2 linked regions of the Arabidopsis thaliana genome follow. The protein of the gene in region 1 interacts with the protein of each later gene in a pairwise test. Each region holds a gene or a part of one and is shown on either strand. Other genes may lie near its edges.

Region 1 (6,271 bases):
GGGAAAATGAATGCACTTTTTTTATGCTACTAACTGAGATTTCTCTCCAGGGATCGATAGTGTTGGAACTGTTCCAGCTTCTCTCATAACTTTTGCTTCCATCCAAGCATTAAAACCTGACATCATAATCAATGCCGGAACCTGCGGTGGCTTCAAGGTACAGTTCTTTTACTTCTCGTGTGCTCTGTCTTGACTTCCAGCATCCTTGCTAAGAACCACGTCCTCTCTTCTTTCTTTACTTGTGGTTTGGGTTTGATTTTGTTACTGCTCGTTTACTCAACTCTGAGATTTGAGTTGCATCATAAAAGATCTCTCTCTCTCTCCATATCTCTATTTTTATGTTGTGAAAGTTGGTTTATTTTCATGTAATGAAAGTGCTGATTGGCTGAACATTTGCAGGTCAAAGGAGCCAACATAGGCGATGTATTCCTTGTATCTGATGTTGTGTTTCATGATAGAAGAATACCAATTCCGGTAGGTTCATCTTCCTTTCTTTCTTTTTTCCATCTTTAGTGATGATTCCCTTTTTGCCAGTTCATCTTGCAAGTTCCTGAGCAATGTTTGTTTATCTCTCTAGATGTTTGATCTGTATGGAGTTGGTCTCCGTCAGGCATTCTCGACACCCAATCTCCTCAAGGAACTCAATTTGAAGGTATTTAATAGACTCAAGATGCTACTTACTCTTTTAACTATTTCAATTTTGACAAAATTGGGGTGGTTCAGATTGGCAGGTTATCTACTGGTGACTCGTTGGATATGTCCACGCAAGATGAAACATTGATCATTGCCAATGATGCTACGCTAAAGGACATGGAGGTAGTGTAATGTTAACAATTCTTATTACTGAATCTAACCAGAAAATCAATGAAACTGTTGTTTTGAAACTCTTTTGGCTCTGGATTCTTCAGGGTGCTGCCGTGGCGTATGTGGCTGATCTTCTGAAAATACCAGTCGTGTTCCTCAAAGCCGTGACCGATCTAGTGGACGGAGATAAACCTACAGCAGAAGAGTTCTTGCAGAACTTGACAGTTGTGACCGCTGCATTAGAGGGAACTGCTACTAAAGTGATCAACTTCATCAATGGGAGAAACCTTTCGGACCTTTAACTTCTGTTCTCTTCCTTTTTTATGGAGAGTGATTTTTTAAAATGCGTTCAACGTGCTTGTTGCAGTTTCACTGATTTCCAGTGATCATATTTCTCGTTAATAAATTTCAAGTTATAAGACGTTCTCTCCCTAGTGTTGCTTAAATTTTGGTAAAGAAACAATTTCAAAGATAACTTATCGACCTGAAAGACGTTAAATCCCTTGATAGGCAAAATATACAACACTGTAAAATTAATTCGTAACCGAGACACTTGGTGAAACCTCAAGACACATAAACGATGAAATCAGAGGTAAAGAAAAATTGAGCTATCTTTCCCAATTAGAATTTCCGTCAAGCTCATCGCAGGACATCGTTGGGGTATTTCTATCTTTTGAACTTATACTACTCCAGACGGTAGCCGGAGAACAAGCTGGCCTCCGAAAACGCTGTAAAGAAAAATGTTGAAACTTTTGAGATATATACAAAGAGCTAAATAGCTAAACTGTTGAAGTGAAGGACTAATGCGTACCTTTTGACGTAGTAGTAACAGAAATCTGCCAAGATGAAAGTTTGAACAATTTCTGAGATCAGAACCATTGATGGCCACAATCCATAACCCAATGCTACAAGCAACCGTCCCCGCGTGTCCACAACCTATTTTCAGCACATTAGACAATGTATTCAGCTATTCAAAATCGACTTTTAAGGTACTAATCCAATCGAGTATAGGAATCACCACTATTGGTATAACCTCTATCCACTCTTGAAGATCAAAACTAACCTGTAAAACCCAGTGGGCACAGCTGAGGAACCTTGCTACTCCAAGTGCAAAAACATAATGAGCCGTGAACGGTTCAACAATCTGAAAACCAAATAGACGCGGATTAGAGAGTAAAACAAATGTAGTTCTCTACTTGACATTGTGAAATAAAGTAGTGACCTTTGTGTTCTGCATCACTCGTAGCTGAGGTAGTACTGAAACAGCTTCAAGGTATACACATAAAGCCCATGAAATTCTGTTTATTATGTTATGAGAGGTCGATGGATGGATGAACACAGCTAATGCAACACAGGGCGCAAGCTGCAAAAATTGAAATCAGATCATTGTCACTGTAAATGATAACAAACAACTCGAGGATCAAAACCAGATTGACTTACCACATAATAGAGAGGAAAGTTGTCTTTGTCCTCCATGTAACTAGCTCTTAACTTGAAACGAATCATAAATATAACCCAGAGAGTTGTTCCCAAAGTAGCCAAGTCAAGAATGGTATGTATATCATATTCCATTACAATGCTACAATACAGCCTAACAGCTAAAAATATCGCCGTAAGCTCCTGAGATTTCAGTGACAATCCTGCAAAATCATTCACAAAGTTATATAAACACATCGAAGGTAAACACTTTCGATTTAAAAAAAGAACCATAGAATGCATCTTAAACCCTAAATTGCCAATTGAATCCTTGATTATAAAGATGATGATTCTACGAATTACGGCTAAAGGCTGCTTCCGGGAGCAGATAATAGTGGTAAACCAATGAAATCCTGATCAAAGCTCGAAAATTTGGACGCGATTATGAGGAAAAACAAAAAAGTTGTGACGTTGAAAAGTAATTTTGCTAAGAACAGAGGAATACATACGATCAGAAGCTGATAAGGCAGGACTGAGTTGAAAAACCCTAAAAATGGATGTGATAAAGACAAGACACATAGAATAGTACCGGCACAGGTCTTCTCCTTCATGAGTTTGTAGATGAGCACACAGATCCCGATGGAATGAACAGCCTCAGCGGCAACGAAGAGATTGTCGTGATCGTGAACAATGAATCTGAGAAGAACCAAAGCCGCCATGCCAGTGACCACGGCGAGAAAAGCCTTCACCTTCGGAGGTTGTCTCCTAACCCATGACCACACCACGTGGATCGGAGTCTTCGTCGTCGCCTTCATGTTTTGCTTTTTTTCGCTTTTCTTCTTCTTCTGTCTCTGATTTTCTCGGCAAAAGTGAAAAAGGTAACTTCTGATCGAGAGAGATTAAAAAGTCTGGTTTTGGTTGACTTGAATGTAAATTACCAAATCACCCCTTCCACACATCTCTTACTCTTAAATACTAAATGAGCCGTGACTGAATCCATAAATTAGGCCCATAATCGTATCTATTGTTTTTCTAAAAGGCCCATGAATGCCTTCGTATATATATGTTCGTTCGGTTAATCGTCTTTCTTACCAACCTCACCCGACGACGGTGATTTTAGGGATTTTCGTGTTCGTCAAGGCTCGCACTGAGGTTTTAGGGTTTTGCTCCTCGGCGATTTTGCTGGGCCTTTGGATTTGAAATCTGAAGCTATGTGGAACATTGATGGTACGTCCTTAGCTCCTCCTGGTACCGACGGTTCGAGGATGCAGACACCTTCACATCCCGCTGATCATCCTTCTTACACGGCGCCTTCTAATCGGAATACTCCGACGGTTCCTACTCCCGAGGATGCAGAGGCGAAGCTTGAGAAGAAGGCGAGAACATGGATGCAGCTAAATTCCAAACGGTACGGCGACAAGAGGAAGTTTGGGTTCGTGGAAACTCAGAAGGAGGACATGCCACCTGAGCACGTTAGGAAAATCATCAGGCGAGTTTCTAATTTTTCAATTTCGATTTCGAAATCCAGTTGACTGGGAAACGAATCTGGTCCAATTTCTTTGTATTATTAGGTTTGGGTTAAGTTAGATTGAAACTGACTCTGCGTTTTGATTCAGGGATCATGGTGATATGTCATCAAAGAAACATCGACTTGATAAACGTGTATATCTTGGAGCACTTAAGTTCGTTCCTCACGCAGTTTTCAAGCTCCTGGAGAATATGCCTATGCCCTGGGAACAGGTAATTATTCACTTAGTGATCTATATCTCGCTTTAGTTGTTCTCCTGCTCTGCTCAAAATTTTGAACTCAGATATTTTCCAGGTCCGGGACGTGAAGGTCTTGTACCACATCACTGGAGCTATTACATTTGTGAACGAAGTACGATGGGTTGTGGAACCTATTTACATGGCTCAGGTGGGTGAATAATCTCCCTCTCTCTTCTTTTGTGTCTGTGCATTTGTGAATTTGTGAGACATGTTTTCTAGTGATGATTCTTTCGTTTGCAGTGGGGTTCTATGTGGATAATGATGAGAAGGGAGAAGAGGGATCGTCGTCATTTCAAGAGAATGCGGTTTCCACCATTTGATGATGAGGAGCCCCCTCTAGACTATGCTGATAACCTGTTGGACGTTGATCCTCTAGAGGCAATTCAGTTGGAGCTAGATGAAGAAGAAGATTCTGCTGTGTACTCTTGGTTTTACGACCACAAGCCACTTGTAAAAACAAAAATGATCAATGGTCCAAGTTACCAGACGTGGAATCTCTCACTTCCAATTATGTCAACCCTTCACAGGCTTGCAGCCCAGTTGTTGTCTGATTTGGTTGATCGCAACTACTTCTACTTGTTTGACATGCCATCATTCTTTACTGCAAAGGCACTGAACATGTGCATACCAGGTAACGCTATACTCTATGTTCTCCTGTTCTGATATCTTCGTTTTCACAGTTGTTGTCCTTCTGTTCTCTTTCCCTGATTCAATTTGGTACTCTTTTTCAGGCGGTCCTAAGTTTGAGCCTTTGCATCGTGATATGGAGAAAGGAGATGAAGACTGGAATGAATTTAATGACATCAACAAGCTTATAATTCGATCCCCTCTGCGAACTGAGTACAAAGTAGCTTTCCCACATCTGTACAATAATAGGCCCAGGAAAGTAAAACTCTGTGTCTATCACACTCCTATGGTTATGTACATAAAGACTGAGGATCCTGACCTTCCTGCCTTTTATTATGATCCATTAATTCACCCCATAAGTAACTCTAATAACACTAATAAAGAACAGCGCAAAAGTAATGGTTATGATGATGATGGGGATGACTTTGTGTTACCAGAAGGACTGGAACCTTTGCTAAATAACTCGCCACTCTACACTGACACTACAGCTCCTGGCATTTCATTGTTGTTTGCCCCTCGGCCTTTCAATATGAGGTCTGGGAGGACTCGGCGGGCTGAAGATATACCCCTTGTTGCAGAGTGGTTTAAGGAGCACTGGTAAGCTAATTTTTCTGATGCTACTGTGGTTCTCTTTCCCCTTTTGAAATTTACTAGACATTGTATTAACTTCTTAGTTATCTCATTTTCTGCAGTCCTCCAGCATATCCTGTCAAAGTTCGGGTTAGTTACCAGAAGCTTTTGAAATGTTATCTACTGAATGAGCTGCACCATAGACCCCCTAAGGCTCAGAAGAAGAAGCATTTGTTTCGATCTCTTGCAGCTACAAAGTTTTTTCAGAGCACCGAACTGGATTGGGTTGAAGTGGGTCTGCAAGTCTGCCGGCAGGGGTATAATATGCTGAACCTGTTGATTCACAGGAAGAATTTGAACTACCTGCACCTTGATTATAACTTCAACCTCAAGCCTGTGAAAACTCTGACAACCAAGGAACGAAAGAAGTCGCGTTTTGGAAATGCTTTCCATCTCTGCCGTGAGATCCTCCGGCTGACAAAACTTGTAGTTGATGCAAATGTCCAGTTCCGACTTGGTAATGTTGATGCCTTTCAATTGGCTGATGGCCTGCAATATATTTTCTCCCATGTTGGGCAATTGACAGGTATGTATCGTTATAAGTACAGGCTTATGAGACAAATCAGGATGTGCAAGGATTTGAAACACTTGATCTATTACCGTTTCAATACTGGTCCTGTGGGTAAAGGACCAGGGTGTGGATTTTGGGCTCCAATGTGGAGGGTATGGTTGTTTTTCCTTCGCGGAATAGTTCCTCTTCTAGAACGATGGTTAGGGAATCTGCTTGCACGTCAATTTGAGGGGCGTCACTCAAAGGGAGTGGCCAAAACAGTCACAAAACAGAGAGTTGAAAGCCATTTTGATTTGGAGCTTCGAGCTGCTGTCATGCATGATGTTGTTGATGCAATGCCAGGTTCGCTTCTTGCGTCTATAACTGATTTGTTTTTCTCAAGGTCGATTTCCTTTAATTTTATCTCTTCCTTGTTGGTTTATACTGTCTTCTAATGTGCAGAGGGTATTAAGCAAAATAAGGCGCGGACGATATTGCAGCACCTTAGTGAGGCATGGCGGTGTTGGAAAGCTAATA
Region 2 (4,995 bases), on another chromosome or scaffold:
AAACATACCTGCGGAATAACAAAGTCCTTGTTAACTATAATGCATAAACAATAATCTTGGTCAATTCTTCCACATTGATCTGGTCCACTACCTAAACTAGATATCAAAAATCAATCTTTACCAAGTAATGCAAGAGCATCTCCTGCGCCTTCATTAACGATCAAAACCTTTCTACGAGAAGTTTTCATACTCGAAAAATCATCCATTTTTGCAACATTCATAGTGTCACGTCCCTCAACAATGTCTTTAGCCCATAAGACAGTACCATCTTCCCCAGCAACAAGATCCGCATAAGTTCTTAGCATTTCCTCTCTATTCGCATACCTCGATCTTGGAACATACTGAACATTTCCATACATAGTTGAAACAAGGTTATAACCAGTCAAAACATCAGGCTGTTCTCCACGCAGTAGCAAATGTGATCTTAGACCTCTCTCAGCACAAGAAACAGCTGCAAGATATACAAATAACTGATTCAAATTGCAATCAAAAGTCAATACCATTTCTTCTCTAAAGATTCAAACTTTTACCAACAGCAGCTGTATGTGCACTTTGACAACCTCCACATGTAACCTACACACAAGAAAAAAACTTCTAAACTTTAAGCCATTTCCAAAAAAAAACCCAGTTGAGAGATATTATAAGTGATCACATTCTCACCAAATCAGTCACTTTATGATCTTCAACAAGTGGTAACAAAGCATCAAGCTTTCTAGCTTTGTTACCATTCACAAGAGGATGTAAAAGATCATCTCTAAGAATGTAAAAAGAAGATCCTTGCTTCGACTTCGACATTTCATCTCCGAGATGTGGACGAGTGTTGTTCAAGAAGGAGAATTTATCGATTCCTTTGACAGAAGAAACACTAATCTGCTGAATTGGAGATGCAGGACACTGTAATCCCCATTTTCTATCGAGTAATTTAGACACAAACTCTCGTGAATCGATCTCGGAAGTAATGGGAATTCTCTGAAATTGATTAAGACATTATCCCCAAAACGCAATGAAATCAGAAAAAGTTCAGATTTTTTTCTGCAATTGCAAATGGGTATTCTTAGAAGTGACAAAAGGAACGATTTTTAATTGATTTAGATGACGCAGAGAAGAGAAAAGAGAACCTGAGAAGACGAGTGAAAGTGATGAAGATTTGATTTTCCGGTCACCGCCAAAAAAGTTGACCGTTGGACCTTCATTGACGCTTCTCTCTGCAAAATTTCTTCTATTCCGGAGCTAGCGGAGAAGATATGGAGGTTTTTAGACGTGAAAAACACGCGCTTACTCACACGTTGATGGGCTAGGCCCTGTGAGAAAATACGGCCCATATATTGTGGGCTATTTTTGTAAATTTATGAGATGCAGAAATATATTAACCCCACAAATAAAAAACTTTCTTTATATTAGTATATTAAATATGTATCATCCCAATATAATCAATGTTACATCGAAGAAGGGATCGTCAAAATACATCTAAAACAAGAAAATATTACAAACATTTTTATTACAATAGTAATAAGTTCGCGCGCCGATCACAACTCTAGAAAAAGAAGAGCGATCCAGCAACTGCACCAACAACAGAGACAAAGCCAAAAGCTACGGTGGCATCGCTTCCGGAAGCTTCTTTTTGTGGTGGAGGATAGTTAGCGTACGAAGCATCGCTTCCAATAGGTCCGGCGACTGCCACTTCATCATCTCCATTGGCATCATCGGGAGTAACAGCTGCATCGTCGTTGTCAGTTGTTCCAATAGCATTGTCATCAGCTGGACCCTCTGCTATATCACCTCCAATGCCATCGGTTGGAGTTGTAGCGGTGGGAGCTGAGGCGGTGGTGGTTGACGGTGGTTTTTCGTTCTCAGCAGCTGATACGATCACGGCGGAGATAGCGACGAAGAGGAGGAGGAGAGCTAGGTGAAGACGCGCCATTATTTTTTAATTTAGTTATTTAGTAATCCCCAAAAAACTTTTTTTTTTTGAAAAATGTTTTATGGGTATTTTGTTTTATTTATTTATCTTGAATTGTGTAATGAGGGTCTTTGCTTATATAGTTGTTTGATCAAAGTGCTAAGATGACTCAACGCAATTTGAGGTTTTGCCAAAAATATTAAAGGTTGAGGAAAAAATTGCAAATTACATATTATCTTCTACTCCTAATTAAGCTTTTTCTAAATTCTAATCTTATCAAATATAGCAAAAACAATTTGAGAAATAGGATTTTAGATTTTTCTTCGATAGAATATTAGTACTCTAACTAGATTTTGACCCGCGGTATACCGCGGGGCTAGGTTTTTAATAAAATTTGTTATATAAAATGTATATGTAGATATTTGTTTTATTAATATTGTTTGCTTTATTTAGTGTTTAAGATAATATATATATAGATTTTAATTGTCATATCTAGGATTTCATCCGTAGTATATCGTTTCGTATTATTATCGATCAAAACCCGTCATACCATCTAATCATGCACAATGAAATTAAACATATCTAATGGATTTCACTTGTGGTATACCGTCTCGTAATACTATCGACCAAACCCGTCCTACCACTAACCCTGTTCAGTAAAATTAGACATTATTTTGTTATTTTTGTTTTAATAATACTTTAATTTAAAAAATATTTAATTCAAATCAATTTAGAAGTTTTCTTTCAAATATTTATTTAATTGTTATAAAGTTTATATATTATAATATTATAAACATGTCATACCATCTAGTCCTACTATCTAATCATGTTCGGTGAAATTATTTTATTTTATTTTTTTATTAATATTTTTATTAAAAGATTTATAATTTAAATCAATTTAAAGTTTTCTTTCAAATAATTATTTAATTTTTAAATATTTTAACCATTTTGGCAAAAATAACTAGGCCATGGAATAAGAGCATATTCTTTTGAATAAGATTTGCTTTTATTTGATAGTTAATTTTCGCATTGAATAAGCCAGTGGTAACCATTGTAAATAAGTTCCAACTCCATGATTTATTGATGTATATATAAATGTAAATCACAAAATGGCTGCAAAAATGTATATATAGATGTAAACCCAACAAATATGAAAACAGAAAATAAAATAAAAATTTGGTAGAAATTGAATCTGACAATAATTTGATTTAATGAAATTATTTGATAATTATTAACAACATAACCTAAAACTTAACCAATGAACAATTAGAATAATCTAAAAACCCTATACAATGAAATGTTAAAGACAAGTTTATGTTATTCCCCTTTTTGTACAAGCTTCCAAGTCTTATGAACATAAAAAGCAAACGCAAATTTTCTTGCGTTTTTGTTTCCTTGATGTCAAACGTAGTTTCTTACCAACCAAACCACATAAGTCAGCTAGCTAGCTGAGATCGATATCCACTTTTTCCGGTACACACCTTTCTTTTTGGTTCTTACCAAGCTCTGTTCCAAGCTGACCCTGATCGCCTGCACCAAACGCGAATAGCTTCCCCGATTCCGTGAGCGCAAATGTATGAGCGTTCCAGTATATGGAGTTCGTTAGACTTATCTGGACCATCCGCTCGTTCACTTGTTTTAGCGATGTTACTACCGTTGGACTTAGCACGTTTGCATGTCGATTACCCTGCAACAAAAAATCAAACCAGACATACGACTAAACATAAGTTTAGAACATATAATGTAAGCAAAAGAAACAATGGAGGCCATGGCCAATCACTAACCTGTTCATCAAAGGATGGATGGTGACCGAGACTAGCGGATTCGCCGCAGCCAAACGAGTAAACATCACCATCGTCTGAGACCACAAAAGTAGTGTAGTCTCCTGTTGCGACATGAACTGCTTTGACATGGCTTAGACCTTCAACAACCTTAGGGACTGATTCACACTCCTCGTTACCGTGACCTAAACATCCATATCTTCCCCAACCCCAAGTGCACACTCTTCCATCCTGACCTACCACCGCGGCATGCCAAGCACCCGCTGCAACTACCCTAGGTTGAAGATTCAATATCTGAAACTGCTCGATGACCCGAGGATACTTCTCATCTGTTCTTGACCCATGACCAAGTTTGCCTCCCAAACCGCAACCAACTGAGTAAACAGACCTAAAATAAGCATGCTACAGAGTCAGTGCTGCTGTTGGACATTTGCATAGTGTTCTATTGCACATGACCCATAGAAACATAGCAAAAAATTTAGGATCCAAATTATTTTTGTCAAAAGAGTTTAACCATACAAATATGACTACATTTGTTGTAACCTATAATATTGTTGAACTGGTCTAAAGTAGAAAAGAAAGTGTAAAAAAGGAACTCACATGCCATTTGGTTGACAGGCTAAGGCAAGAAGGTAGCAATAACCAGCAGCAATCTGCACAACGGGTACATTCTCGAGTGGGCCTAACAAAGGACGAGGCTCGACATCCGCAGCCTCAGTTTGGTGTCCTAGTCTACCGTCATTGCCCCACGAGAATGTATAAACCTTTCCTTCTCGGGAGAGAACAGCGGTAAAGTAATTCCCAATAGCTGCTTGCACTACAAATATGTTTTTTAAAGATGTTACAAGCTGAGGAGTTGTAACTGGTTTAGTCCCTTGCCCTCCGTATTCAGCTTCCCCGAAGGATTCTTTTCCACACGCATAAACTTTTCCGTCATCGCTTATTAGCATTGTCCGAGCAGCACCAGCAGCTGCTTGGATGATTCGAACTCCCTGCAATGATCTGCACAGCACGATAACAAACTCCATCAAGCCAAGAGCATATATTTTCTTCTCTTTTCAGATCTTGATGATGATGGAAAATGACCTAACAGGTTGAATTCGAGCTTCGTCCTCGGTATGACCATGTCCTAGCTGTCCAGAGTTATTATATCCGAAAGTATAAACTTCTCCTTTCGATGTGACTGCTACACTATGACCAGGACCAGCAACAGCTTGAGATTTCTCTCTTCGACAACACGCTTCACCAGCCAGCAAAAACCGAAGGACTAATTTCCATGATCCTCCGCACCTACGTTTCATCTCTTGACGTTCT

The links. Proteins that work in one complex are often made in the same cells at the same time.
Region 2: the proteins of AT4G38790 (region 1) and AT3G26110 interact in a protein complementation assay, tested with the Arabidopsis thaliana proteins (one large-scale study listed by BioGRID).

The regions. Positions count from the first base shown.
Region 1 is NC_003075.7:18,108,190-18,114,460, reverse strand, and holds AT4G38790 (ER lumen protein retaining receptor family protein), read right to left. Parts: upstream 3,126-6,271; 5' UTR 3,036-3,125; coding exon 2,810-3,035; intron 2,445-2,809; coding exon 2,245-2,444; intron 2,168-2,244; coding exon 2,027-2,167; intron 1,949-2,026; coding exon 1,868-1,948; intron 1,741-1,867; coding exon 1,616-1,740; intron 1,533-1,615; coding exon 1,484-1,532; 3' UTR 1,255-1,483; downstream 1-1,254. Other genes in the region: MTN1 (methylthioadenosine nucleosidase 1), read left to right, coding at 51-157, 400-474, 578-652, 724-816, 909-1,106; AT4G38781 (uncharacterized protein), read left to right, coding at 3,268-3,420; AT4G38780 (pre-mRNA-processing-splicing factor-like protein), read left to right, coding at 3,432-3,628, 3,837-3,960, 4,043-4,135, 4,228-4,618, 4,719-5,211, 5,307-6,097, 6,197-6,271.
Region 2 is NC_003074.8:9,538,499-9,543,493, reverse strand, and holds AT3G26110 (Anther-specific protein agp1-like protein), read right to left. Parts: upstream 2,012-4,995; 5' UTR 1,922-2,011; coding exon 1,535-1,921; 3' UTR 1,330-1,534; downstream 1-1,329. Other genes in the region: AT3G26115 (Pyridoxal-5'-phosphate-dependent enzyme family protein), read right to left, coding at 1-8, 122-451, 531-573, 661-969, 1,119-1,193; AT3G26100 (Regulator of chromosome condensation (RCC1) family protein), read right to left, coding at 3,345-3,587, 3,685-4,069, 4,282-4,683, 4,768-4,995.